Saccharomyces cerevisiae S288C: one gene and its partners. The protein of the gene in region 2 binds, or shares a complex with, the protein of the main gene of each other region. Each region holds a gene or a part of one and is shown on either strand. Other genes may lie near its edges. The genes, in order: HPR1, TEX1, THO2 and YRA1. A codon is read from its position in the direction of its gene.

Evidence for each region.
Region 1: the proteins of TEX1 (region 2) and HPR1 are in contact, whole or in part, in a cryo-EM structure (PDB 7V2W), measured with the Saccharomyces cerevisiae proteins. Residues at the interface, in NP_014146.1 of Saccharomyces cerevisiae: Lys13 (codon at 2,852), Thr14 (codon at 2,855), Trp264 (codon at 3,605), Asn372 (codon at 3,929), Ile374 (codon at 3,935), Trp377 (codon at 3,944), Lys378 (codon at 3,947), Lys388 (codon at 3,977); in NP_010422.1 of Saccharomyces cerevisiae: Glu318 (codon at 3,786), Tyr324 (codon at 3,804), Tyr325 (codon at 3,807), Ala326 (codon at 3,810), Asn327 (codon at 3,813), Asp329 (codon at 3,819), Ile466 (codon at 4,230).
Region 3: the proteins of TEX1 (region 2) and THO2 are in contact, whole or in part, in a cryo-EM structure (PDB 7V2W), measured with the Saccharomyces cerevisiae proteins. Residues at the interface, in NP_014146.1 of Saccharomyces cerevisiae: Thr14 (codon at 2,855), Ile15 (codon at 2,858), Thr16 (codon at 2,861), Ser17 (codon at 2,864), Ala20 (codon at 2,873), Val73 (codon at 3,032), Ser74 (codon at 3,035), Pro122 (codon at 3,179), Thr123 (codon at 3,182), Leu125 (codon at 3,188), Glu207 (codon at 3,434), Ser218 (codon at 3,467), Asn219 (codon at 3,470), Gly220 (codon at 3,473), His223 (codon at 3,482), Cys246 (codon at 3,551), Ile249 (codon at 3,560), Lys250 (codon at 3,563), Ala251 (codon at 3,566), Thr253 (codon at 3,572), Pro263 (codon at 3,602), Trp264 (codon at 3,605), Gly265 (codon at 3,608), Arg266 (codon at 3,611), Ile273 (codon at 3,632), Asp274 (codon at 3,635), Gly275 (codon at 3,638), Asn276 (codon at 3,641), Tyr278 (codon at 3,647), Trp280 (codon at 3,653); in NP_014260.3 of Saccharomyces cerevisiae: Tyr453 (codon at 3,351), Gly460 (codon at 3,372), Glu461 (codon at 3,375), Asp464 (codon at 3,384), Met465 (codon at 3,387), Thr467 (codon at 3,393), Ala468 (codon at 3,396), Leu469 (codon at 3,399), Met470 (codon at 3,402), Ile471 (codon at 3,405), Arg473 (codon at 3,411), Ile474 (codon at 3,414), Asn476 (codon at 3,420), Leu479 (codon at 3,429), Arg484 (codon at 3,444), Ile486 (codon at 3,450), Tyr489 (codon at 3,459), Leu498 (codon at 3,486), Glu499 (codon at 3,489), Leu500 (codon at 3,492), Asn501 (codon at 3,495), Tyr504 (codon at 3,504), Thr544 (codon at 3,624), Lys548 (codon at 3,636), Arg551 (codon at 3,645), Asn590 (codon at 3,762), Asn591 (codon at 3,765), Pro592 (codon at 3,768), Ile593 (codon at 3,771), Lys653 (codon at 3,951).
Region 4: TEX1 (region 2) and YRA1 share a complex: the UniProt entries of both Saccharomyces cerevisiae proteins name them as parts of the transcription/export (TREX) complex.

The regions. Positions count from the first base shown.
Region 1 is NC_001136.10:727,744-734,883, forward strand, and holds HPR1 (Hpr1p), read left to right. Parts: upstream 1-2,834; coding exon 2,835-5,093; downstream 5,094-7,140. Other genes in the region: RGP1 (Rgp1p), read left to right, coding at 516-2,507; NEDD8 family protein RUB1, read right to left, coding at 5,875-5,959, 6,033-6,181; MTQ2 (S-adenosylmethionine-dependent methyltransferase), read left to right, coding at 6,395-7,060. UniProt on the Saccharomyces cerevisiae protein: Component the THO subcomplex of the TREX complex, which operates in coupling transcription elongation to mRNA export. The THO complex is recruited to transcribed genes and moves along the gene with the elongating polymerase during transcription.
Region 2 is NC_001146.8:167,203-173,326, forward strand, and holds TEX1 (Tex1p), read left to right. Parts: upstream 1-2,815; coding exon 2,816-4,084; downstream 4,085-6,124. Other genes in the region: mRNA-binding translational activator GIS2, read right to left, coding at 127-588; RTC4 (Rtc4p), read right to left, coding at 841-2,046; mitochondrial 54S ribosomal protein mL46 MRPL17, read right to left, coding at 4,239-5,084; Nrd1 complex RNA-binding subunit, read right to left, coding at 5,386-6,124. UniProt on the Saccharomyces cerevisiae protein: Component of the TREX complex, which operates in coupling transcription elongation to mRNA export.
Region 3 is NC_001146.8:357,990-367,711, reverse strand, and holds THO2 (Tho2p), read left to right. Parts: upstream 1-1,994; coding exon 1,995-6,788; downstream 6,789-9,722. Other genes in the region: SRV2 (adenylate cyclase-binding protein), read right to left, coding at 1-971; U2 snRNP complex subunit YSF3, read right to left, coding at 1,300-1,554, 1,677-1,679; YNL140C (uncharacterized protein), read left to right, coding at 6,226-6,795; AAH1 (adenine deaminase), read right to left, coding at 7,073-8,116; ammonium permease MEP2, read right to left, coding at 8,760-9,722. UniProt on the Saccharomyces cerevisiae protein: Component the THO subcomplex of the TREX complex, which operates in coupling transcription elongation to mRNA export. The THO complex is recruited to transcribed genes and moves along the gene with the elongating polymerase during transcription.
Region 4 is NC_001136.10:1,234,158-1,240,156, reverse strand, and holds YRA1 (RNA-binding protein YRA1), read right to left. Parts: upstream 3,600-5,999; coding exon 3,315-3,599; intron 2,549-3,314; coding exon 2,153-2,548; downstream 1-2,152. Other genes in the region: NKP1 (Nkp1p), read left to right, coding at 1-197; ribosomal protein P2 RPP2B, read right to left, coding at 333-665; COI1 (Coi1p), read left to right, coding at 1,307-1,332, 1,527-1,845; phenylpyruvate decarboxylase ARO10, read right to left, coding at 4,032-5,939. UniProt on the Saccharomyces cerevisiae protein: RNA-binding RNA annealing protein. May have a role in pre-mRNA metabolism. Component the TREX complex, which operates in coupling transcription elongation to mRNA export.

The DNA of each region.
Region 1 (7,140 bases), on a different chromosome or scaffold from region 2:
ACCAGGAGTTACATATTTTTGTATTATCATAAAGAAACACACGCCAAGATATCTACAGAAACCAGATGTTAGCATTAGATATATATATTCGTATTGATGCAGCATAACAAGCGTACTATGGATTGCAAAGTAATGTAGATTCCTGACCAGTAGATCTGCTCGCGCAAGAGAAACATTCATGAACTCTAACGACAATAACAGTAAATCCACCTCACGGAGAACGATAAAAGTCTTCATTTCTCCATGAGGTGGAAACGTTGTTTGAATATTAAACATAATACTTGAACTTCTTGTGTAATTTTTATTTTTTAATCGAAGTCTACTCCGAAGTCTCCTATAAAGCGTAAGGCGCGTCTCCAAAGTGCTATTTTTCAAGATCAATTCAGCTTCAAAGAAGCTTTGATACCTACGGGGCAATGCAAAGGCTGCCAGTCGAAACAAACAGCGAAAGCTAGCCCATAATTTCTTGAGCTGTTGATTTTGATTGTGATATTTTTCATACTTTAGAAGAAGATATGCGTGCGCACAGAATCGATACATTTCTCATAAGAGAAAACATCAAACTGGAGATCATACATGAATCGAATTCCTATTTTGGTGGAGAACATATATCAATTGCTTTCCGATTTAAGCACCTAGGCTCACAGCATGAATTGTTCAACTATAAAGAAAAGCTTCTCACTGTCGATAAAGCTGTTGAAGAGAAGTTGGAACAACAAGCGAAAGTGCAAGATGATGGTGAAGGCACGATGGAAAATCAAACCTGGTCCCTAAAATCATTACTAGGTGCCTTCAAAAGAACAGGCGAACCTGAAGAGAGTGTGGATGTGGATAACATGAAAATGCTAAATGAGAGTAAGATGTTAAGAGAAAAAATACAGAAGCAAATGTATTTTCATCAACCTGTAACGTTAATATCCGGTTATGTTCAAATATCGGGGGTCTTTCAATACGATTCAGAGGTAATTTCAGAGTCAAAATTTAAACAAGATGAAGTAAAAATGGTAGGACTAGATATTGTACCTGGACATACGACAAATTCTGTTCTTGCATTGGAAGATGGAGAACATTTCAAAGGTAAAAGAAATTTAACCAACTACCTCAACTCAGATTATACAAATGTGACCAATGGTCTTCTTTTCTCAGAAAGCGGTTCTAGGGGAAGAACAGGTACCTATAACGAACGGACCTTAATGATATCAAACGATACCAGTATAAAAACATTACCTCTTCTTTTAATACCACAGACGCTTTTATTTTCTGAAATTTCTTTAGAACCAGGTGAAGTAAGAACATTCTATTTTAAATCCACAAAGCTGCCAAAAGATATATGCCCAAGTTATTCATCGTCAAAAGTGGCATCAATAAATTACACGCTGGAGGTTGGTGCGGATGTACTTTCTGATGATAATATCGAGAAATTTTCAAATAGAGTCCCAATAACAATAGCACCATATATTAGTTCGAATGCCGAACAGTACACATCACGTCTGGATAAGCCTGCTATCATATTAAAGACAGGTAACATAAAGGAACTAAAGCCACGTTTGTTTACTCGAAAAGTTTCTACGGCTTCTGCTGTATCATTTGGTAGGAGAAAATCTTCTATAATTGACATTGATTCTCCATTAGAAGATAATGAATTTGTCAAGCGTGTCAAAAAAAACTTCATTGAACTGGTGGAATCTAACCAAAATGTGTCAAGAGATATAGACGAACTTATTGACTTGCAAATGGGGGTACAGTTCGGAAAGGATGAGGATTCTTCGGATCCTGAACCCAACGACTCACACTTTTCGAACGAAATGGTGACGTCTGCAGAGTCTAGCCTGAGAAGCGATGCTGTAACTAAGAGGAGAAAAAGTTATTCGGTACGCGATAACATTTCTAACCTCGAGCAAAAGATGTGGAACGATTGTTCTCTCGTTAAGTCAGATGAGAATTCTAATCTTCTACCTCAGCTAATTAATTTACAGAACGCATATCAAATTAACAGAAATAATGAGACTATGGCAAAAGTATCCTTATCAGCACCTTTTTATAAGACAACTGATGATATAAATTTAGTCATTGAATTAGATCCGATAACGACGCCTTTACTTAAAGTGACTTCGTTGACTGTATCCTTAGAATCGTTTGAAATTATAAATCCAAAATATAAGACTGAAGGAAAAGGAATAGGGAGCAAACCAAAAGGAAACTCGGTGTATGAGAAACATTTTATTTGTTTCGATGAGTGCAAGTCCGTATCGGTGAAATTACTTCCTCCAAGATCGCCTACAAACCAGATTACCGGACAATTCAAGACAGATGTTTTTCAACATAAGTGGATGATAGGACTAAAATTTGTAATAATTGCAAAGACAGAAAGTATCACTTTGGATCAATTTTATGAGGATAAAAAGGGCATCCTATTCCATTCAAAAGAGAATTTAGAAGGTGAAGAGTTTACATGTTACGTTCCCATTCCAATACTGTGTACATCCGAAGATTTCATGGGATGGTAAGCAATAAATGGGTGCAGTTTACTCGTATAATTGGTTTTGCATTTGAATCCAATCCAGTAAAGAGGATTTACTATACTCTCTTCATAAAGGGTATGTACAGATACATTTATAAGTTAGTTAACCGGCTTTATTGTCGTAATAGTCATCTCTTGATGTCATGGGTTGCTGTCCGTGCGATTTCAAGACTGCTCATTTCGCACGATGCATATTGCTTCTCTAATGACATTTTTCGTTAGAATGATCAGGTTTTTGCCATAGCTTGATCAGTAAATTAATAGATGATTTTAACAATTCAAGAGGCATTAAAACTTGGGCAAAGGAGTAATAATGTCTAATACCGAGGAATTGATCCAAAACTCAATAGGTTTTCTCCAGAAAACTTTTAAAGCACTCCCAGTTTCGTTTGACTCCATTCGACATGAACCACTTCCATCTTCAATGTTGCATGCAAGTGTTCTCAATTTTGAATGGGAACCGCTCGAAAAAAATATTTCGGCAATTCATGATAGAGATTCTTTGATTGACATTATACTTAAAAGATTCATTATAGATTCAATGACAAATGCTATTGAAGACGAAGAAGAAAATAATCTTGAAAAAGGGTTACTAAATTCGTGTATAGGTCTCGATTTTGTGTATAACTCAAGATTTAATAGATCTAATCCAGCTAGCTGGGGAAATACCTTTTTCGAGTTATTTTCCACCATCATTGATTTGCTAAACTCACCATCTACGTTTTTGAAGTTTTGGCCCTATGCTGAATCACGTATCGAATGGTTCAAAATGAATACATCTGTTGAGCCAGTATCATTGGGGGAGAGCAATTTGATTAGTTACAAACAGCCTTTATACGAAAAGCTGCGCCACTGGAACGATATTTTAGCTAAATTAGAGAATAATGACATCCTTAATACCGTCAAACATTATAATATGAAATACAAACTAGAGAACTTTTTATCCGAGCTACTACCTATAAATGAAGAATCGAACTTCAATAGATCCGCTTCTATTTCAGCTTTACAAGAATCTGATAACGAATGGAACAGATCAGCACGTGAACGAGAAAGCAACCGCAGTTCCGACGTTATATTTGCTGCAGATTATAACTTCGTGTTTTATCATCTAATTATTTGCCCGATCGAATTTGCTTTTAGCGATTTAGAATATAAAAATGATGTGGACAGATCATTAAGTCCCCTTCTTGATGCAATCTTGGAAATCGAAGAGAACTTTTACAGCAAAATCAAGATGAACAATAGGACTAGATATTCCTTAGAGGAAGCTCTGAACACTGAGTATTACGCGAATTACGATGTTATGACCCCTAAATTACCCGTGTATATGAAGCATTCAAACGCAATGAAAATGGACAGGAATGAATTTTGGGCGAATCTACAGAATATTAAAGAATCAGATGACTACACTCTTCGACCTACCATTATGGATATCTCTTTGAGCAATACGACCTGCCTTTATAAACAATTGACTCAAGAGGACGATGATTACTACCGCAAACAGTTCATTTTACAACTATGTTTCACAACAAATCTTATACGCAATTTAATTTCTTCTGATGAAACGAGGAATTTCTATAAAAGCTGCTATTTGAGGGAAAACCCGTTGAGCGATATTGATTTTGAGAACCTTGATGAAGTTAACAAAAAGCGTGGGCTCAATTTATGTTCATACATTTGCGACAATCGTGTTTTGAAATTTTATAAAATTAAAGACCCTGACTTTTATCGTGTTATCCGCAAATTAATGTCTTCTGACGAAAAGTTTACAACCGCCAAGATCGATGGCTTTAAAGAATTCCAAAACTTCAGAATATCTAAGGAGAAGATACCGCCACCCGCTTTTGACGAAACTTTTAAAAAGTTTACGTTCATCAAGATGGGGAATAAATTGATTAATAATGTTTGGAAAATACCTACTGGTCTAGATAAAATTGAGCAAGAAGTAAAGAAGCCTGAAGGTGTCTATGAAGCAGCCCAAGCGAAATGGGAATCAAAAATTTCTTCTGAAACTTCCGGTGGAGAAGCGAAAGATGAAATAATCAGACAATGGCAAACTTTACGGTTTCTAAGATCGCGATACTTGTTCGATTTTGATAAAGTTAACGAAAAGACTGGTGTTGATGGTTTGTTCGAGGAACCCAGAAAAGTGGAAGCGTTGGATGATAGTTTCAAAGAGAAACTTTTGTACAAAATCAATCAAGAGCACAGGAAAAAACTTCAGGATGCTAGGGAGTACAAGATTGGAAAGGAAAGAAAGAAGAGGGCACTGGAAGAAGAGGCTTCGTTTCCTGAAAGAGAGCAAAAAATTAAGTCGCAACGTATAAACAGCGCTTCTCAAACAGAAGGAGATGAGTTGAAGAGCGAACAGACGCAACCAAAGGGAGAAATATCAGAAGAGAATACCAAAATAAAAAGCTCGGAAGTTTCTTCGCAAGATCCTGACAGTGGTGTTGCCGGGGAGTTTGCTCCACAGAATACAACAGCTCAACTAGAAAATCCAAAAACAGAAGATAACAATGCAGCTACTTCGAACATTTCTAATGGTTCATCTACCCAAGATATGAAATAAATTATCCTCTTAATAGAAATTTTAAACTGATAAGAAATTCATGCATAGTGTCCCAAACAATTCAGATAGATTTTAGCGTACCACAGAGATCCTATCAGAGAGTAATACTTATGATGAAAACAAAAGTCAATCCATTCGGTTTAAAAAAATGACAAACCTATATTTGATTAGATTAATCAGGCGTCAATAACGTCCTTAGAAGTCCCTTTGCTAAGACTGATATCGTTGGCAAAAGCATGCTCCGAGTTTAGTATATACTTCCACTTGATAAAGTTGTAGCGCAAAGGATGCTTTTCTTAATGAGAAATTCGGTATACTACAAGAGGACATCCAATCGTGCTTACAAAATTGCCCTGGAAGACATGATTGAGAAGAAATGGCGAAATATGTCTTTTGGTCAGATAGTCTGTAATCGCATATAACAGTATGCTTGGTTTGCTCTTTATCACCACGCTTTTCCTCTCTTTCCAGCGCGAACCATGCAATGGCCAGCTTTATGAAATTTAAACCATAAAGTCATATGAGACCAGCAATCAGACCATATATAGCCGTACTATGCTATAACGGATAATTTGATAGATACTAAACAGTTTTAGTTCACATTTCTCGTCTAAAAACAATTAATTTATTATAACAGACTCTATAGACTAAATTGTATGTATTTTTTTTTTTGACAAATTGGGGGCGGTAGCCTTCCAAAGTCCAAGTGAACTTATGTTCGTTTTGTCTTCTTTTCTAATGAACACCTTCGATAAAATTCCATAAATGACGGAAAATGGTTCTAGTTACCACCTCTTAGTGTTAATACCAAGTGGAGTTGCATTCCCTCTACTAGATGTGCATCCGTTACTGTTAATTTATCATCACTATCCTGGTCGTTAGTAAGGTCTCAAAAACGTAAATAAACTTAAAAGATAATTAACCACTGAATGAACATACATTTGTTTTCCCTGGAATATAAGTCTTTGTTGAGATGGTGGAATCCCTTCTTTTTCCTCCAAAAGTTCCTTGATGTGATATACGAGATCTGATTCCTTCAGCTCAACAGAGATCTCCTTCCCAGTCAGTGTCTTCACTTTAACAATCATCGGTTACGGCTGTAAGGAAGTTAATTACCTTCCTTTATTTATTCCTCTGTCGGAATACTTCATTTGAATAACAGAATTTTGGTTTTTCAGCTAAAAGTTGTTCGTTTGCCTTCCCGAAGACGCCATCGGAATTTGATTTCATATAAATATTGATATAATTATACTCTGAAATATAATATTGATAAACTTAACACAGGGTGAGAAAGGTGAAGTATGCTACCGACCCCTTATGTAAAATGCGATTACGATAAAGTATATGAGCCTGCTGAGGATAGCTTCCTCATACTGGACTGTTTGGAAAAAGAGCATGATTTTTTGAAACAGAAATTTGGTAATCGTTTGGCCATCGTTTGCGAAATTGGTTCGGGATCAGGTATCGTCACAACATTTCTAATGCAAAACAAAATAATACCGCAGGAAAATTCCATCCACTTAGCTGTTGATATCAACCCATGGGCGCTCGAAGCAACTTTGGATACTGCGAAGTTAAATTCATGTAAAAGTTCTTTTTTAGAAGTGATTCAAGCTGATTTAAACTCCAGTATTCGGAATAATCAGGTTGATGTCCTAATATTTAACCCACCATATGTGCCAGCAGAATGTGTGCCAGATGTCCCAGGATCAAGAGAGGAGGCAGACCAATGGCTAGATTTAGCGTTATTGGGTGGAAAAGACGGGATGGCGATTACTGATAAACTGCTACGACAATTAGAACAAATTCTTTCTCCAGATGGTGTTGCATATATATTATTTTGTGCAAGAAATAAGCCTAAAGAAGTCATTAAGAGGTTTGTCGATACTTACAAATGGAATGTGAAACTTATTGAAACGAGAAAAGCGGGATGGGAAGTCCTCAGTGTGTACAGCTTTACAAGGTGACAGTTGCAAAACCTTTCACGTTATAATTGATAACCTGTGTCTTTACTCAAAGCGTATAACTATATTTCGGTTTATAAAGA
Region 2 (6,124 bases):
ATGAAGTATAGAAAAGATATAGAAAATAAACTTAAATATTCAGTTTACTTGTGCTTCTTTTTTCCCCTCTATGAAATATAGCATGATAAGTGATTGTTCCTTTGTTTTTTTCAGTGGATGTTTCACCTAAGCCTTTGGACAATCCTTGGAAATATGGCCAGTTTCGTTACAGTTGTAACAAAGCCTGTCATTTTGACAGTCCCTGGACATGTGGCCAGCTTGACCACAAGTGTAACATTTCAATCCACTAATTCCGTCCTCTTTCATACAGTCCTTAGCCATATGGTTTGGACCACCACATTTATAACATGAAACTTTGGAGAATCTGCTGGTCTTCTTTGGTTCAGGGCATTCTCTGGAGATGTGGCCGGTTTGGTTACAGTTGAAACAACGTTGCACAGTACATTCACTTCTAACGTGACCGGTTTCACCACAATTGTAACATTGCTTGAATTCAACTGTTCTTGGCATGGTACAATCCGTTTGAACGTGACCGGGTTTGTTACAGTTGTAACATAGTCTTTCAGAATCACAGTCTTCTGCCAAATGGCCAATCTTACCGCAAACGTAACAAGCTTTTTGAGACATCTTTTTCGTATTCTTTTCTTTTTTCCTGATTTCTGAAGGGAAAGCCTTAAAATAATACAATCCTCAAGTGCCCCCAAAGCAGAAAGAGCATTTCTAATCCATCGATGACCTTATTACAACTCTTGCCAAAAGAGAAAAGGAACGAAAAGAAAATTTTTTCAGCATTTCGTCTATCATGACACCACAGCAGTTCTTACTATAAAGCTCAAATCCCTAAGCCATAAAGGCAACAAACGGCAATATACTACCTGTTTAATCGTGCGTATCCAGTCGCCATCTCCTGCTGGAATAGTTATGAACATCGAGTTTCAGTTCCCGCAGACGGTCTTCCTCTATGGCAGCTTCCCATTGCTCAATTGGATCAGAGTCGGCTACTATGATACCGTATTCAACTGTATCCTCGAGTAAGTCATAGGCTAGCATCCTTAATTCGGGATCGTAGTAATATTCCTTCTCGTTTAATTGTTGCTTTGGATGTTTATTCGGTGTCTTCGACGAGCAAGATTTATTCGAGAGATTTAATTGGTAAATACAAAAAGACGTAAGGGTTTCTGGAGCCAAAACGTAGTTACAGAAATCTGTTATCCCCCACCATTTTAAGGTTGCGGGCTGATTGTGCGTGAGTGCCCTTTTATATCTCTTAGCGATTTCTTCGCCAACCCTCAATTGCCTTTTCAGGCCGTAAAATCCAGCAGTAAATTTGTTTAAATTCAACTTTCTAAACTCATCTACGGACAAGTAAGCCTTTTGTGAGTTTTTGAATGCATTTTTTGCTTCAAAATAGTATACAGACGATATCTTTCCCTCCAATATGTCCATTACAATGGGCATGAAGGGTTCTACTTCAGTGAGTAGCTCATCCGAAAACAACATGGGTGGTAGTTTGAACTTGCTCATGTATTCTTCCCTTACTTGAAGTTTTTTGATTATCTGCTCTTTAGAACTCAAACAACTTTGTAACGATAGCTTTTTATCCTCGGGAAATGAAGAGGAGAAGATTTGGTTATCTTCAACTGCCGATAGTTCTGCCTCCAAGAGTAATTTTTTACCGTCTAAAAGATTATTGTTCCTGCATTTGATAGACTCGATATCTTCATTTTTCAAATTCTGTATTAGTGGGATAGAAACGACCTTCTCTTCTTCTTTTTCTTTTCCTCTGAGTGCTGCATTCTTTGCGGCTTGTACTTCTGAATTTGGAAATGACCTCGAAAGTTTATCAAATGTGGCCACAGTGGAAAGCTTTTTTACTTCAATCTCATCTTCTGTGATACTGTCTATTTTGCCGCGCTTTTTTGAGGGGGAAAAGGCATCATGGCCTGATAAGTCGTCACTTTCTCTATCATGTATGTCATGTTTTCCTTGTCTTTTCATTAACAGTAAGTTATCACCACTTCCCTTTTTTGTGGAATAAACACCTTTTCTCCTCACTCGATTAATTCCCAGACCAGGCCCAACCATCTCTGTCTACGCAGGTCAAAAATTTGTGCTAAGGTCTCGAGAGCACATACAGTACCCTTTTAATGTGATCTCATCGCTACATTTTTCAAAGCTTCCCATTTTAGCGACGCCATCTATATATAGGAAAAAAAAAAAGTTTAGGACGCTATTTACCACAACAATTGAGATGCAGCACAAATAGGAGTATCATTGCCTCCCAATTTTCAAGGGAGTTTTCAGAGAATTACTATTCCATACCTATTCAATTACTGGAGTTGTCTTCAGTATCATAAAGGGTTTTGGATTTTCAATCGAATTGCCATTTTTTTCCTGCTTACGTTCGATAGATAGCCAAATGCAGTTTATATATATGTATGTAGACTTGAAGGTATATTAACAGTGCCCATGTTTCTTTGGAAAGTGTCAAATATCGCAAAGCATAACCTTGAAGGTTAACATTATTTTCTAGAAATACACCTTTCCCACTGGATATGATGACGGAAGAAACAAAACGTTAAATTATTGTACCGTTGTATAAAACAGTAACCGAGCATGGACAATTCATTTTTACACCCCAACGACGCCACTAACCATGTATAGGTGTCTTGCCTAACTTATCATTATTCATAGTAGAATTAAGAAAATTAAAAGCCTTGCACCACAGGTTACGTACATAAGATATTATGTTAAATATATATCTCTTCAGTATTTCTACGTACAAAGCTTCACTCATTGAGGTTTGATTGGTGTACAGCTACATACATAAAAAGGATCAAGTGAACTATTCGGCATGTCGACAATTGGAGCTGTTGATATTCTTAATCAAAAGACCATAACTTCTGAAGTGGCTGCCTCAGTGACTTCAAAATATCTACAAAGTACGTTTTCTAAAGGTAATACAAGTCATATCGAAGATAAAAGGTTCATTCATGTCAGTTCGCGTTCTCATTCAAGATTCACCTCGACTCCCATAACTCCAAATGAAATTCTTTCCCTAAAATTTCACGTATCAGGTTCATCGATGGCGTATAGTAGAATGGATGGGTCATTGACCGTTTGGTTTATTAAAGATGCAAGTTTTGACAAATCTGTAGAAGTTTATATTCCAGACTGTTGTGGTTCCGATAAATTGGCTACTGATTTGTCCTGGAACCCTACTTCTTTAAATCAAATAGCTGTCGTGAGCAATTCATCAGAGATATCCTTACTCTTAATCAACGAAAAATCGCTAACGGCATCCAAATTAAGGACCTTGTCATTGGGAAGCAAGACTAAGGTCAACACATGTCTTTATGATCCATTAGGAAACTGGTTATTAGCTGCCACCAAATCTGAGAAAATCTACTTGTTTGATGTGAAAAAGGATCACAGCTCTGTCTGTTCTTTGAACATCAGCGATATAAGCCAAGAGGATAATGACGTTGTGTATTCCTTAGCATGGAGCAATGGTGGAAGTCATATATTTATTGGCTTTAAGAGTGGTTATTTGGCCATTTTAAAAGCAAAACATGGCATATTGGAGGTTTGTACCAAAATTAAAGCACATACTGGTCCTATAACCGAGATCAAAATGGACCCATGGGGAAGAAACTTCATTACTGGGAGTATCGATGGGAATTGCTACGTATGGAATATGAAGTCACTATGTTGTGAATTAATAATTAACGATTTGAACTCTGCGGTAACAACACTAGACGTCTGTCATTTGGGTAAAATACTAGGAATTTGTACAGAAGATGAAATGGTATATTTCTATGATCTTAATAGTGGTAATTTACTCCACTCTAAATCTTTAGCCAATTACAAAACCGATCCCGTTTTGAAGTTTTATCCTGATAAATCATGGTATATCATGTCAGGCAAGAATGACACACTATCAAATCATTTTGTTAAAAACGAAAAAAATCTAATAACTTATTGGAAAGACATGTTCGATAACACGATGATTGAAAAACGTAGGAAAAACAACGGTGGAGGCAACAACCACAATAAAAGGACGAGTAAGAATACTGATAGGATTGGCAAGGATAGGCCGAGTAGATTCAACTCAAAAAAATAAGTTACCTGATGGAAGGAATGCGGTAGAAAATGCACATTCTTTTTCTTTCATTTAATGATATTTACATGTGATTGACGACAACCTAATATATAAATATATATGCACGCATATATTTTGTATATGTAACGTTAAAAACGCATCTGTTTTTGTGATTTCAATTATCCGCTAAAAGAAATTCTGTTTTGTTAAAGTAATCTTTTGGTACATATTCACTGATCTCACCTTTTGTCAGCCAAGCAAAATCCTCGAATGCATCATTTTTCGACGCCACCAAATCAAATTTTCCAGCCAAAATGTGTGACTTCACAATAAACTCAGCAGTCCTATTTCTCTCGTCCTGCAAAACACCTATGGGCGTAGCAGAAACAGACCAAGTGTATATCTGATCACCGCTCAACAATTTCAATTCGTTCTCTGCGTGTACGTGTAACGGCTTAGATTCATCAGAAAGATCGAAGTTAGGGAATTTCCAAGTACCGCTTTTATCCTTAACCAAAAGATATAAGGTCCTGCTCAATTGTCTTTCAAGGCTCTTCATATCATTTGACCTATCTGCTTCCGTTATCCTGTCGTTGGGAATCACGGGCCTATTAACATCGTCTTTGCTTTGCTCTTTTTGATTGTTGCTAAATGCTACTGTACTGTCATCAGAAAGTTTAACTTCTTGCTTAGTACTTCTTTCTCTGCCATGTTTAATGTCCGGTATGCCTCTAGGAAACCAAATGCCATTTTTTTTGGAGATAGGTCCTTTCTGCAGGGATAGAAATTTGTGTTCTGCTACAGTACCCTTTTTGAAATAAAAATATGCCGGAAACGTCCACATTAGTCTCTTTTCTAGTTCTGATTGGTACTCATAGTATTTTTTCTCTAGTTCATTTAATTCTGATTTAATTATAGGGATTCTTGACAGTAGTACTCCGACTTTAATCTTGGGGGGAGCGGAACTGGCAGTTGCAGTTGCAGTAGCAAGCCCTCTTTTCAACATTAAATTTACCTTCATGGTACTGGATAAGCGCTTATGATTACGTAGAATATAAAGTTTATTGATTGTTTAACTGTTTTCTTTCCTTTTTTTTTTTTCATTTTCATTTTCATCTAAACCTTGAAAAAAAACCAGGAATACGGTAAAAAAAGAGAATAAAGAATAGGATAATGCTACATTTGAAACACAGTAGTTATGTGAATACATAAGGATGTCCATTTAACAAAAAAAAAAAAGGAACATAGGAAAAAACAGAAATTATATATAGAGGTAGATTAGTTTTATGTACTATGAGCAAATAAAGGGTGGAGTAAAGATCTTAGCTTTGTTGTTGTTGCTGCTGCTGTTGGTTAAGCATATTCATCAAAGAATTCAATTGAGCAGTGGGGTCAAATTGTTGCTGAGGTACAGGGGGAGCCGCTGCGGCAGGTCCCTGAGAAGGTAATGGTTGGTTGGGGGCATAACCATACGGTTGCTGCATCATAGGTTGCACATATTGCTGTGGTGGAGGAGATGCCAATGGTGCATTGCCGTAGGGTACTGGAGATATCGACGATATGCTACCAGATTTGTTAGGTTTACCAGAACGTGGCCCATTTCTGCCAGAATCAGTAGGCATCTTTTGAGATATTGCCTTGGAAGAAACACCTTCACCAACGATAATATCCGGTTCTTCGAAAACAATACCGGTAACGAGAGGTTGACCAGAAGTGCCACCCCATTGCGCACTTACTGACCATTTTTTATCAGCGTCCGTGAGCCTGTGCATAGGAATAATACTGTAACCGTGTTGATAGTCACAACAATCTCTTGGACCAAAACCAACTCCCCACCTAGTTCTCAATGGCAGGGCTCCATCTTTATTGAAGTTTTGCAAAACATTTTCGGCCTCATGTCTTGAATAAACTTTCACAAAAGCGTGTTTTCTGGAGTTATTCAGAATGACGCTTTGTACTTCAGCAAAAGGTTTTAAAACGTTAGCAAGGTCCCATTCCTTCATGTTTAGTGGTACCCCACCGATGAAAAGAGTACGGCTGTAGACTTTAATATGATCTGGT
Region 3 (9,722 bases), 190 kb from region 2:
AAACCCTTAGTGATATTTTCACCCTGATTTAGTTCGGCGAAGACCGCGCCAATACCGCCTTTGTTAGCATCACTACTCGTTGCTGGTGTATCATTAGAGATTTCAAAGACGGAAGCTGGTGGGGCTGGTGGAGGAGGTGGTGGTGCTGGAGCCGCTGTAGCACTTGCTGGCGAAGGAGATGAAGTAGCACCTGTATTCTTCGTTGATTGTGCCATCGCGTCAGCAAAATCCATACCGTCTTTTTTCCAGGAAACCCCAGTAGTATGATACTCTTTAATGTAGGCTTTCAAATTATCGAAAGAGGCCAAAAATTTCTTAACCCATTCAACAGCATTAGGATCAGACTCTCTGTATTCTTTCAAAATTCTATTAGTCCAAAACTGTGCTGCGTCCTTGAAATCTGTGACCATAGACACGGGAGTGTCCACTGCAACCCAGGAGAACAAAGGAGCACCCTCAGATAAAGCGCTCAAATATGCGAAGTATTTGCTTTGACGGTTTGATTCCTTCAATTGACCCAGCTTTATAATATTTTCGTTGATAGGTCTTAAAGAATCAGCGAAAGTTTGAGAAGAATAATCCGGTTTTCTTGATCTCACAGCAGCTCTTAAAAAAGTCAATTGCGATTGAAAGCCTCCCTTTAGCAACTGCAAAGCATCTAAGACCACCGTGTCGATCTTTCCTGATAATTCTACCAGCGGATCAATATTCTCACCGATGTAAGATTGGAACGCAGTTATGCATTTCGGATCTTGTTCTACTTCAGGAGCATTTTCTGCAGAAGGTTCATTCGTAGTATTCGCATCGGCCCCGGAGTCGGAAGGCTTGTTATTTTTAGATGCCTCCAATTTATTCTGAATATAACCTTCTTGATAGATGGTGACATCCTCTAATCTTGCAGTGGCTTCTTCTAGCCTTTTTAATAGCTTAACAAGGTTATAACCTTGCATTGTGTACTTAGAGTCAGGCATGATTCGATTTCACACGGTTGCAACTTGGCCTACTCAATTACGAAAAGTTTCAAGCTGAGTTTTCCCCTATACTACCAAAAGATTTCACTTCTAAATCCCTGTTTATGACTTCACGCGACATGTATAGATCATTTTAAACGATATGAATTGTATACTGTCCCAACATTTTATATCTTTATATAAACATCAAGGTTAATAATGTTCGACAGTTACTAGAATCAATGCCTAAAAGGTTACTGACTGAGTGTGATCTCTACCATAAATCTTGAGAACGACATACGAGGCGTAATTTTATGTAAAAATTATTTATGGATGTGGCTTCAACGTCCTACCTCTCTTCTCGTAAGTAGGCTTTATAGCCAGGGGACATGGATTTCAGGAGGTGAATACGAGTGTCACGTATACTAAGGTCTCCTCGGCTCAATGAAACGTACTCCAAAGATGCGGAGTGGCCTTGTAATGTATTTAGTGTATCGTTTCTCACATTTCTCTGCCACTGTTCTCGTGTAGTGCTCTCATCTCCCAGTCCGATGTACTTTTGTTTGTATATCTTCTGCAACTTCAACTGCCTCTGCTTTTCCGCCTGTTTTGAGTATTAGCATTACGTATAAGCCGCACGGACTTGCACGATTCATCGCAAGCGTAGTTAGTACCATGGTAAAGATGATTTCAATTCAAACTAAAGCGCAATAGAACGTAACATACCATTTCTTTTCTTAATTTCACTGTTTCGAATTGTGTAATATAACCATTTTAGCCACTATTTACATGTTCTGAATGAGAAGGCTTATGTTCTTCTCTTCTTCCCGGGTGACAACGCTAACTTCGGCGTAAGATTTTCCGCTATTTCTTCAATAGCGACATAACGTATGAGAGTTTATGCCCAGGGAACACGTTGATTTAGAAGCAAACACTGTTGCATAAATTATAGGGCTGTGATTTTATCGTCTTTATCTAAAGCATAATAGGGTGAAACGGTTTCAGTTGATACATATTCGCACCAGTATACATTTTCAGGACTTTATGGCAGAACAGACGCTACTTTCCAAATTGAACGCTCTTTCTCAAAAAGTGATACCACCAGCTTCCCCTAGTCAGGCAAGCATTTTAACGGAAGAGGTGATACGAAACTGGCCTGAACGATCAAAAACTCTCTGCTCCGATTTCACTGCACTGGAGTCAAATGATGAAAAGGAAGACTGGTTGAGGACTTTGTTTATTGAACTGTTTGATTTCATAAATAAAAACGATGAAAATTCTCCCCTCAAGCTTTCTGATGTTGCATCATTTACTAATGAATTAGTGAATCATGAAAGGCAAGTGTCCCAGGCTTCCATAGTTGGTAAAATGTTTATCGCCGTCTCAAGCACTGTTCCAAATATAAATGATCTAACAACCATATCATTATGTAAACTAATACCGTCGTTGCATGAAGAATTGTTCAAATTTAGTTGGATATCCTCTAAGCTGCTCAACAAGGAACAAACCACCTTATTAAGGCATTTGTTAAAAAAGTCAAAATACGAACTGAAGAAATATAACCTTTTGGTAGAAAATTCAGTGGGTTATGGTCAATTGGTAGCCTTATTAATATTGGCGTATTATGATCCCGACAATTTTTCCAAAGTGTCCGCATATTTGAAAGAAATCTATCATATTATGGGGAAATATTCCTTGGATTCTATTCGTACTTTAGATGTTATTTTGAACGTTTCTAGTCAGTTTATCACTGAAGGGTACAAGTTCTTTATTGCTCTTTTACGAAAGTCGGATTCTTGGCCATCTAGCCATGTAGCTAACAATTCCAATTATTCTTCTCTTAATGAAGGCGGTAATATGATTGCAGCAAACATTATTTCATTCAATTTATCGCAATATAACGAAGAAGTCGATAAGGAAAACTATGAACGGTATATGGATATGTGTTGCATTTTACTGAAAAATGGGTTTGTCAATTTTTATTCTATTTGGGATAACGTTAAACCAGAGATGGAATTTCTACAAGAATATATTCAAAACTTAGAAACTGAACTGGAAGAGGAGTCCACTAAAGGCGTAGAAAATCCCTTGGCTATGGCAGCTGCTTTGTCCACTGAAAATGAAACTGACGAAGACAACGCCCTTGTTGTAAATGATGATGTTAATATGAAGGATAAAATCTCTGAGGAAACAAACGCTGATATAGAATCAAAAGGCAAGCAGAAAACTCAGCAAGATATTTTATTATTTGGTAAAATAAAACTCTTGGAACGCTTACTCATACATGGTTGCGTTATTCCCGTGATACATGTGTTAAAGCAATATCCGAAAGTGTTATATGTTAGTGAATCCTTATCTAGATATTTGGGAAGAGTATTTGAATATCTTTTAAATCCATTGTACACATCAATGACCTCATCTGGTGAATCAAAAGATATGGCAACTGCTTTGATGATAACCCGTATAGATAATGGTATTCTAGCCCATAAGCCAAGGTTGATCCATAAATATAAAACTCACGAGCCATTTGAATCCCTTGAATTGAATTCAAGCTACGTCTTCTATTACAGCGAGTGGAATTCCAATTTGACTCCTTTTGCTTCTGTAAATGATCTATTTGAAAACTCGCATATCTATTTATCTATCATAGGACCGTATTTGGGGAGAATTCCTACGCTTTTGAGTAAGATTTCACGTATTGGGGTAGCTGACATTCAAAAGAACCACGGTTCTGAGTCTCTGCATGTTACGATTGATAAGTGGATAGACTATGTAAGAAAATTCATTTTTCCAGCTACCTCGCTATTGCAGAACAATCCAATTGCCACATCGGAAGTTTACGAACTAATGAAATTTTTCCCTTTTGAAAAAAGATATTTTATTTACAACGAAATGATGACGAAATTATCCCAAGATATTCTACCGCTTAAGGTGAGCTTCAATAAGGCCGAAAGAGAAGCGAAGAGTATTTTGAAGGCTTTGAGTATAGATACAATCGCAAAAGAGTCCAGGAGATTTGCCAAATTAATCTCTACAAATCCATTGGCCTCACTGGTACCAGCAGTTAAGCAGATTGAAAACTATGACAAAGTTTCTGAGCTTGTTGTTTACACCACGAAGTACTTTAACGATTTTGCGTATGATGTATTGCAATTTGTATTATTGTTACGCTTAACTTATAACAGGCCTGCTGTTCAATTTGATGGTGTTAACCAGGCCATGTGGGTCCAGAGATTATCAATATTTATTGCAGGTTTGGCCAAAAATTGTCCCAATATGGATATCTCAAATATAATCACCTATATTTTAAAGACGTTGCATAATGGGAATATCATAGCAGTTTCTATCCTAAAGGAATTAATTATTACAGTCGGGGGCATTAGAGACTTAAACGAAGTTAATATGAAGCAACTATTAATGTTAAACTCAGGATCACCATTAAAGCAATATGCAAGACATCTCATATATGATTTTAGAGATGATAATTCGGTTATTTCGTCGAGGCTAACCTCATTTTTCACTGATCAGAGCGCTATTTCTGAGATTATTCTCCTGTTATACACTTTAAACCTGAAAGCAAATACGCAAAATTCTCATTACAAAATTTTATCCACTAGATGCGATGAAATGAATACATTGTTATGGTCGTTTATTGAGTTAATTAAACATTGTTTGAAAGGGAAAGCATTTGAAGAGAATGTTCTCCCATTTGTAGAATTGAATAATAGGTTCCATTTATCGACACCGTGGACTTTCCACATATGGAGAGACTACTTGGATAATCAATTGAACTCAAATGAGAATTTTTCTATTGATGAATTAATTGAAGGTGCAGAGTTTAGCGATGTTGATTTAACGAAAATATCAAAGGATCTTTTCACTACTTTTTGGAGACTTTCATTATACGATATCCATTTCGATAAATCACTATATGACGAGCGTAAGAATGCACTATCCGGAGAAAACACGGGCCACATGTCAAATAGAAAAAAACACCTGATTCAGAATCAAATCAAGGATATTTTGGTTACTGGAATTTCGCATCAAAGAGCCTTCAAGAAAACTTCAGAATTTATATCTGAAAAATCAAATGTCTGGAACAAAGACTGCGGGGAAGATCAAATTAAGATATTCTTGCAGAATTGTGTTGTGCCAAGGGTTTTATTTTCTCCTTCAGATGCTCTCTTCTCTTCGTTTTTTATCTTTATGGCTTTTAGGACAGAAAATTTGATGTCGATATTGAATACTTGTATTACATCAAATATTTTAAAAACGTTGCTGTTCTGTTGTACTAGCTCTGAAGCAGGCAATTTAGGTCTGTTTTTCACTGACGTTCTTAAAAAGCTTGAAAAAATGAGATTAAATGGCGATTTCAACGACCAAGCTTCTCGAAAGCTTTATGAATGGCATTCAGTAATTACCGAGCAAGTCATTGACCTTTTATCCGAAAAAAATTACATGTCAATTAGAAACGGTATTGAATTCATGAAGCACGTCACTAGTGTCTTCCCTGTAGTGAAAGCTCATATCCAGTTGGTTTACACAACTTTAGAGGAAAACTTGATAAATGAAGAAAGGGAGGATATTAAACTACCAAGCAGCGCATTGATTGGCCATTTGAAAGCGCGTTTGAAGGACGCTTTAGAATTGGACGAATTCTGCACCTTAACTGAAGAGGAAGCTGAACAAAAGAGAATACGTGAAATGGAATTAGAAGAGATCAAAAATTATGAAACAGCTTGCCAAAATGAACAAAAGCAAGTAGCTTTAAGAAAGCAGTTAGAGCTTAATAAGTCGCAAAGACTTCAAAATGATCCACCCAAAAGTGTTGCAAGCGGCAGTGCTGGATTAAATAGCAAGGATAGATATACTTATTCTCGTAATGAGCCTGTAATCCCAACAAAACCTTCTAGTAGTCAATGGTCATATTCCAAAGTCACCAGGCACGTCGACGATATAAACCATTATTTGGCCACGAACCATTTACAAAAGGCAATTTCCTTAGTAGAGAACGACGATGAAACTCGGAATTTAAGGAAATTATCTAAGCAAAATATGCCAATATTCGACTTTAGAAATTCGACTTTGGAAATATTCGAAAGGTACTTTAGGACACTCATTCAAAATCCTCAAAATCCAGATTTTGCAGAAAAAATTGATTCGCTTAAAAGGTATATTAAAAATATCTCGCGCGAGCCATACCCAGATACGACTAGCTCATATTCTGAAGCTGCTGCTCCTGAATATACCAAAAGATCAAGTAGGTACAGCGGAAATGCTGGAGGCAAAGATGGTTATGGTAGTTCCAACTATAGAGGACCAAGCAATGATCGTTCTGCACCCAAAAATATTAAGCCAATCAGTAGTTATGCACATAAAAGGTCAGAACTACCAACTAGACCTAGTAAAAGTAAAACATATAATGATAGAAGTAGGGCACTTAGACCCACAGGTCCGGACAGGGGCGATGGTTTTGATCAAAGGGATAACCGCTTACGTGAAGAGTATAAGAAAAACAGTTCACAACGTTCACAATTACGGTTTCCTGAAAAGCCATTTCAAGAGGGCAAAGACAGCAGCAAAGCCAACCCTTACCAAGCTTCATCTTACAAGCGCGACTCGCCTTCAGAAAATGAAGAAAAGCCGAATAAAAGATTCAAGAAGGATGAAACAATTAGAAACAAATTTCAAACGCAAGATTATAGAAATACACGAGATAGCGGTGCTGCCCATAGAGCCAATGAAAATCAAAGGTACAACGGAAATAGAAAGAGCAATACTCAGGCGCTTCCGCAAGGTCCCAAGGGTGGGAATTACGTCAGTAGGTACCAGAGGTAATTACTAGTACTTAACATACCCGAGCTGAATTTTAACGTGTACTTTGATAGTTCCCGAATTGTAATCTCGTGAAATACAAAAGGTCCAGCTAATGCTCGTATAATCACTCAAATAAGTTTGTAGAATTCTATTGTATCCTTTCCCACACAAAAGGGGATGTAAAAAGCATCAAAAACATCGAATGAAATTTGTGCATACACATAGTGTTATAAATTTACAAAAAAGCGCTTATGAATCGAAAAAGACTTTCAACAAAAATATTATACAATGTCTTGCAAATGGTACTAATGCGAATATTTAGTGACTACTTCGTCCACTCTACTTAACAAACCGTTCTTTCTTTTATCGTCACACCATGAACCTTTAATGGCGTTCTTAGCGATACGACCCCATGTTTCATGGTCCCAGTGTGGGAAATCTTTCGAAACTTGAGTGTAGACATCTAAGATATAACCACCAAAATAGGCGGGGTCATCAGAATTTAAAGAAAATGGAACATCTCTGTCAAGAAACTTTTGTAGTGGTAACTCTGAAACGGATTGGACTACTTGTAGCTTCACGTTGGAGAGAGGACAAATAGTTAGCATGGTCTGGTCGCGCGACAACCTATCCAATAACTCCTCGTCGTATTGACTGTTGATACCGTGATCGATTCTTGTTACTTGCAACAAGTCTAAAGCATCCGAGACGAATTGAGCGGGGCCTTCTTCACCTGCGTGTGCAGTTAGTTTTAAATCTTTATTCAATGAGGCGGCCTTTCCGTAACATTCAACAAATAAATGTGGGGGAAATGGTTTCTCAGCAGAATCTAATCCTAAGGCAGAGATAGTACCATCTTTAATAAATGGGGTAGCTTCTTCGATAGTTTTCAAACATTCCTCTGGTTCAATGTGTCTTAACAGACACATAATTAGCTTGGATGTAATACCAAATTCAGAGAAGGCTTTGTCACAAGCTCTTTGGAAACCTTTAGTGACTGTTTCTATGGAGATGCCCCTAGATGTATGTGACTGAGGGTCGTAAAACACTTCAGCATGGACCAAGCCTTGTTTGTGAACTTTTTTAAAATAGGCCCACGCCAAATCAAAGAAATCTTGTTCACTAATCAAGACATTAGTACCAATATAATAGTAATCTAAGAAATCCTGCAGATCACGAAACTTCTTATACTTTTCGTTTAATTCCTCGACCGATTTAGGAAAACCTTCAGGTAGAATTATATCGTTTCTTTTAGCTAATGGGAACAATAGGTCAGGTTCTAGAGTACCTTCCAAATGCAAGTGATGCTCACATTTTGGTAACTCCTGTAAAAACTCCACAGAAACCATTATTTTTTTTTTCTTTTCTTTTGTTAGTTCTAATGGTAGTTATTATTTCAAAATAACTATAAATACACAGGCCTGCTTGTCAATTATTCATTTGCAAAAGATGTCGCTTTCATAAGCCTTATATGTTAATTTTTTTCAATCTTCGTTGGCATGCGATGAGGTCAGTTTCCTGCGCCATTTCAGTGCAGTTTCGAGAATTTTAAGATTCAAAAAAAAAAAAAAAAAAAAAAAAAAAAAAAAAAAAAAAAAAGAAAAGAGATGGAAACAGTGAAAGATAAGGCAAAAAGGAAGTATATCAAGGTTTTTACATCAAAATATGTCTTCTATAAGCGATGAAAATTTGCAACCAAAGCAAAATAAACCTTGTGCTCTTTTCCTGTTAACAGCATATATAGGGTATATAGAGGCTTTCTTAAAGAAAATTTCTTGCTATCATGCTCTGGAGATGCTGTATATTATAGTGTGCACAGTTAAAGTCATCGATTATGATAATAACATAAGACAAGAGAAGTAATACTAACGTCTCCCCTCATCATTCGGAGTTATCAAAAAAAGAAAATATATCAAATATTAAAAATAAAATTATTAAATGAAGCGTTACATAAAGATTAAACATAAAATCATAGTCTGCTTGAGTATATCATTATACTATATGGTCAGTGTTCTTAGTAGAAGAAGCGTCGGAAGGCGTAGAATTCTTTTCTGCGTCTGTGTTACCCACAATCTTATCATCAATGTTTTCATGAGGAGGTGGCATTTGTGCCGATGTTTTAGATCTGATTGGTTCTGGGATGTAAGCAGTGGATTCCTCGTATGTAAATTCACCAATTTGAGCAGCGTCGGTACCTAATTCTTCCTCATCAGCACTTAATCTTAGTTTTAAAAATGGAATGGCATTCATAGTTAGAAGCAAGATAGATGTGACAGTAACAGTCCAGGCTAGTGCAGCGCATATACCTGCTAATTGATAACCAACTTGTTTATAGTGATGATTGATCCAGCCACCATCAATTGGACTAATGTAAGAGCCTGCAGTGGCATTTACATAGTCTGCAGCAAAGATACCAGTTAATACAGAACCAATACAACCACCCACACCATGGATAGAGTAACAATCTAGACCATCATCGATGCGCAATAGACTCTTTAAGTCAACAGCAAGGTTACATCCTGCACCAGTAACCACACCAATGACAACGGCTGACCAGATTGGCACGAACCCGGCGGCTGGGGTGATACCCACTAGGCCAGCGATGATACCTGAACACAAACCAACTGTAGTCCACTTTCTTCCGCATCTGAAATAATCGATAACCATCCATGTCAAGCCACCGCAAGCAGCAGCTAAGTTTGTGGACATAATAGAGTACCATGCTCGTATAGTTGCATTACCTGCAGAGCCTCCGTTAAAGAACATCCAACCAAACCATAAGAACACTGTGCCTAAAACCACCGAGGTGACGGAATGTGGTTTGTACTTGGGCATCCCTTTACGTGTAACAGGGTCATTACGCTTACCCAGTATCAAAGCGTAAACTAGACCACCATGTCCAGATGTTAAATGGACACATAAACCACCTGCATAGTCCAAGCTACCCAATTTGAC
Region 4 (5,999 bases), on a different chromosome or scaffold from region 2:
TAAATTCTTTAACAACTTCCATTAAAGAAGCTTCTGAAGATGATGATATCAGCGAGTACTTCGCCACTTACAATGGGAAACTAGTAGTTGCGTTGGAAGAAATGAAGCTATTATTGGAAGAGGCCGTGAAAACATTTGGCAATTCTCCGGAAAAGAGAGAAAAAATAAAAAAAATCCTAAGCGAGTTAAAGAAGTAATACTATTTTCAATTAATTGTCTATATAGAATCTTATACAGTAATTAATTATTTTTAAATCACAATGGAATCGAGGATTTACACCAGATTTTGTAAAATGAAGGAAAACAAGAAAATTGTTTATTAATTAAATTCCTTAATCGAATAAACCAAAACCCATGTCATCATCAGATTCTTCCTTAGCTTCTTCTTCCTTTTCTTCTTCAGCAGCATCACCACCGGCAGCAGCACCGGCAGCACCGGCAGCAGCAGAAGAAGCACCACCAGTTGGAACAGTAGCGAACTTCTTTTGACCTTCAGCGATGATTTCTTCCAAAGAGCCCTTACCTTCCAAAGAGGACAACAATTCGTTGATTCTGGCTTCATCGACTTCAGCACCGACAGATTCGACGACGGCCTTGATGTCAGCGGCGGATGGGGCAGCGTTACCACCTTGAACCAATAATAAGTAAGCAGCTAAGTATTTCATTTCTGTTGTTGATTAATAGATATTACTTTCTATATTTGAAATAATCAGTTTAAGCGGTAATAAATTCGCGGACTATTCCTTAACGATCTGTAACTGGAAGTTAAATCAAAGATACGTAAAGTAATAGTTTAGAGTAAGTCCAAATATCATCTCTTAAATGAAAAATTTCAGATACCGAGAAAATTTGGAAAAAGAAAATTATTACAATTTTTCTGCTTGGTAACTTTACACGATCCATACTGTAATTTTCGCATTACCTGCGTAATGACTAGAATGGGCACGTGATCATAAAATTAGAGACGACAAGAGCTCTCCAGTATTCTTAAACGGTAGCCCTTGGTTGTGATACAGCCACATGAACAGATTCCCACTGCAGCCTTTTTTGTTGGGTTCGAATAGACAAGATAAATAAGAGCAGTTACACTATATAATATATATATATATATATATATATATATATTACATTACTGACCTCAAAGCATCACAAATGTGTCGCTTCCTTCTTCGCCTTTTAGTTGAAGACATCCTTTTCAATCTTCCTCCTTACAAACCCGAGCGTCCTGCTTGCATATAAAAAAATCAAGGCAGATGAAGAGATAAATATAGTAATATTTCATTCTTTGAGCCGTACTAAGTATACAATGTCAAATCCATTTCAAAATATAGGGTATGTGTAAAAGAAATAGGGAAACATCTATTCGTAAAGCCTAAACTAACATTGGATATCTTTTTCTATTTCCCGGACTTCTTTTTTGGTTATTTCCTTATTGGCCTATCCCTTGAAGCAGAGTTTGATTGCACCATATATATAACCAAAGTGAAGACGAAAGTAGGAAAACACTACCAATGCGATTTCAACAGTAAGAATTTACTATACATTTCTGCAGCCGGGATTGCGTCTATTTATGTGGTCAAGACCATAGTGAAAGCTAGAAGAGATGCTAAATTTATACCAAAGGCGCGGGGAAACAATGGTGAAGTGAATGAAAAAAACTATTATGATAACCTTGCTCAAGTCAAACCAGGGTTCCCCATACCTAAAGATGGAGGAGACAACATTGATTGCTCTGAGGACCATCAATTAGTAAGAAAGAGTAAATATGAAGGTAGCGGGCTTAGTGCTGTAACAAGAAAAAGAGGTGACAAATTAGGTTTTTTAGATAGGAGGAGAAACGAGTAACACACGTTTAATCAACCTATCCATTTTTTCAATGCAGTATTATGTATATATATATTCATCGCACTGTAAATAGTGACATATTATGAGTCAAATATGCCGAATAAACTTTAAAAGTGAGAAAAGCCGTCACCGATGAGTAGGTTAGCGTCACCTAGTGGCGGTGGTAAATATTATTACATAAACATATCAAAGTTTTATTAATACATTTTTTAATCCTTTAAATTTTCTGGAAACTAATACATAATGAAACTCGGAAAAATTAAATTTAATAAAACCAAATTAAATCAAACAAAAAATTGACAATTAATTATTTCTTTTCGAAATAGTCCGCCATTTCCTTGTCCAGATCTTCAAGACTTTTCTTAGCAGGCTTTTCTCTCTTTGGTTTGTTTTGGGATTTTGCCATAGCAGCTTTTCTATTTGGACCCCTCTTTACTGGTCTTGGAGCGTTTCCGCCTTTTTGTGGCATAGCCTTGATCCTGTCGGCTAAACTTTTGACTGGGCGTTGGTTTGGATCAACGATTAGGTTAAGTCTCAATCTTGATCTGCCTCCATCGATTGGAGAGCCGTTAAATCTTTCAACAGCCCTTCTGGCCAATTCACCGTTTTTGAATGTGATGTTAGCCATACCAGTAGATTGGCCCCTTTCGTTATAACTCAACAAAACTCTTTGAACACCACCTACTTGAGATGCAAAAAATTCCTATAATAAAAAAAAAAAAGTTAGTCATATATCTCTATGATATAAAATCAAAGAAGGAAGGGACAATACACAAACAATCAAGGAGTTGAGAGTATTAAAAGTATACCATTGCGTAGGAAAAATAAACCCTCAAATAAACATGTACCACGATGGGTGAGTTCCTCTTTGGTTTCATTAGGTGTCTCAAATCAAATATTTTTGTAACTATCATAATAAAAAAATGAAGCGATGCACTCATATCTTTTCGAACGTTCATGAAAGACATGTTTCCCATAGCTATTTTTTGAAAATGGTGCCATTCGAAACTGAAAGCTACTCCCTCTTGAAAGGATACAAAATTAATTGATCCTTCCACAACTTCAGTATTGGATGATACGCTTATTAAAAATAGGAACTAACTATCACGGTCGAGGCGACACAATACGCCAGCTTAAAAATGTAAGATTGACAGATTAGCAGATAGTCAGATTGATTTGAGTTAACCCAGCCAATAAGAACAAACCCATTCTCAGTGGTAGCTGGTAATTCCAACCTTATAGGCCATGATTTGAAGTATTGAAAAAAATTGGTATGGTTGGCTTATGAAAACGATACTCTTTTTGTATTTTCTCTAGCGAAGTATTTCGGACTCTTTCTTCATCTCTAAAAAGAGAATTCTTGATCAAAAGCGTGTGCCATATCCTTCCTTACAAAGAATATTTCTCGTATCCACACGAGACGATGCGAGTAACTAAACAAATAGCTCTCATTTCACGTATTAACATACTCTTACAGCATCCTGCTTAATGTCCCTTGGCAAACCTTCGACGTTGACCTTGACCTCTCTAGTGGTGTCCAAGAGCTTGGCAACTCTAGCGACTGCGTTTGGAGGTGCCCTAGTATTTTTTCTGATAGGGCCTCTTCTGTTTGGAAGGCTCCTACGTTGGCTACCAACTTGCTTACCAACTCTTCTTGGACCGTTACCACGAGTACCACCGACACGGGCTCTATTACTTCCTGCTTTGTTAGAGCCAATGATTTCGTCTAAGGATTTATCTAAGTTAGCAGACATTTAGCAGATGTAGGTATTTTCTTAATATGGATTTCTTAAAGTTTCAAATAGAACGAGGGAGATTTTTTTATCTATTTGTCTTCGATAGTTTTCGGATAAAACTTCTTCTAACAAAAAAACCTACTACTAAACACACGATAGGAATGACAGAAAAAAGCGAACGGAAGAAGTGAAAAAGGATAAATTTGGCGGCCTTTTATAGTTCTTCAAGTGGTGAGCCGAAAGCCGTGGAAAAACAACACGTCTCCCCGCCCCTGCCTCGTCGCGAAAAAAAAAATACTAGCAACTGGACAAAGAACTCTGTGGTAGTGGTAAAATAGCTTTAATATACGTATTTACTTTGTAAATATAGTTACATAAGGGTTTTTTATGTGTTAATGAACAGAAAACGAACAATTGGTAGCAGTGTTTTATAATTGCGCCCACAAGTTTCTATTTTTTATTTCTTTTAAGTGCCGCTGCTTCAACCATGCACTTTAGCTGTTCGGGGAAATCCAATTCGCCTAATTTGACTTCTAAAAGTTCTATCCCGCTTCTTTTGTTTGAATTCTTAAGCTCCTCCAATTTCAGTGCTAATTTAGAGGGACATTGAATGAGAGTGCTATTAGTATACTTTCCGTCGAAGTCTCCGAATGCTTCAAATAGTTTGGTCCATTTCCAAGACATAACGTCGTTATACGACCTGGTAGGGCCCATGATGGCTCTTTCAATAGTGTAGCCGTTATTGTTCCAAATGATAACTTCTAGTGGAATATTGCACTTCAGAATGGTGCTCAGTTCTTGGATTGTCATCTGTGCTGCACCGTCACCTTCAAACAAAATTAATCTTGGCTTATAGTCCTCTTTTACGTTGCCACCATTGATGTGAGCGTTTGAGTGGTCTTGCATGGCAATTCCAACACCTAGGGCGGCAGGAAGGGCCATGCCAATGGAAAGGAAAAATCCTTGCGATATATATTTTAATTGCGAAGGAAACGCGAAATCACGAACAGAGAATTGAAAAGAGCCTGTTTCACAAACGACAACATCACCAGGGTTCAAAAATTTAGGCATCGTCTTTTGTAAGTGAACTTGTGTAATAATGCTTGATTGTCCATTGGTAGGATCTTCTAACCGCATTGTTTCGTTCGTATATTGAGTTACATTTGAATCATATTGCAAAGAAAGTTTAGAAACGTCAATGCGCTTGTATAGTTCTTTTAAAATAGGGGCAAAATTGATTCCTTTGAACATTTGCTCATTGCCCTGCCTAGTGTCCACAAGGCGAATATAATTCGGATGAAATTGAATGATTTTAGCATTTGGTTTATAAGTAAAAGTATAATGCCCATTATTAATTTCATTGATGTCGACTCCAAAATGCAAGACCAAGTCGCACAGTTCAAAATGTTCATAGACTTGTTTTAAACCTTCTTTACCATTATATTGACCCATATAAGTTGGGTTTGACTCATCAATTACAGATTTTCCCATAACAGTGGAAAAATTCCAAATCCCAGTTTTGCAGATAAGCTTGTTCAAAAAGTTACTCACACCATACCTATCAGTCAGTACGTCTCCAAGGATCGCAGGTGTTTTACTGGAATATATCCAACTAGTAATCTTGTTGATTATGTCAGACAATTGGTTTTCAGAAGGGTATACTATACAATCTTGTTGAGATATACGTGGAACATTAACCAAATTATCACATGTAACAGACATATCCGCAAAATCTGCAGGAACAAAAATATAACCAGGTTTAGAATACTTGTAAATATCGCGGATAACATTATCGACTTGGTCACATGCAGTTTCAATATCCTCCAAGTAGGCTACCGAGCAAGCGACTCTATCTTTTACCATATCATGATATACTTTATGATTTGGCCCTTTAAAATTTGAATCATGTAGCTGTGGGACCAAATGATGTAGGTTCCGATCACTAAAGTTACTTGAACGCGAATCTATGGACTTGGCCACACCAACAATGTGCAAAACTTTGACATTTTCAGCGAACGAACCGGCTATACCGTTCAAGGCGCTTAATTCACCAACGCCATACGTGGTTATTAAACAGCCAATCTTATTAGAGTAACGGGAATATCCGTCGGCCGCATAAGCGGCGTTCAGTTCATTACACGTGCCGACCCATCTTAGGCCAGCTGATTCAACACTAGGTGAATAGAGATATTCTAATAGAGATAAGTTGAAGTCACCAGGAACACCGAAAACTGATTTCGTATCGATGGACAACAATCTTTTAAATATGTATTCACCAAACGGAATTGTTGCTGATCGGTTGGAAACAAGGTGTCGTTCTTCTTGATTTACGAACTTTTCAATTGTAACAGGTGCCATGCTTAAGGGAGTTTCTTTGTTATCTTGTAAATAAACTTTACAGAAGTCGCGTCAACTTGT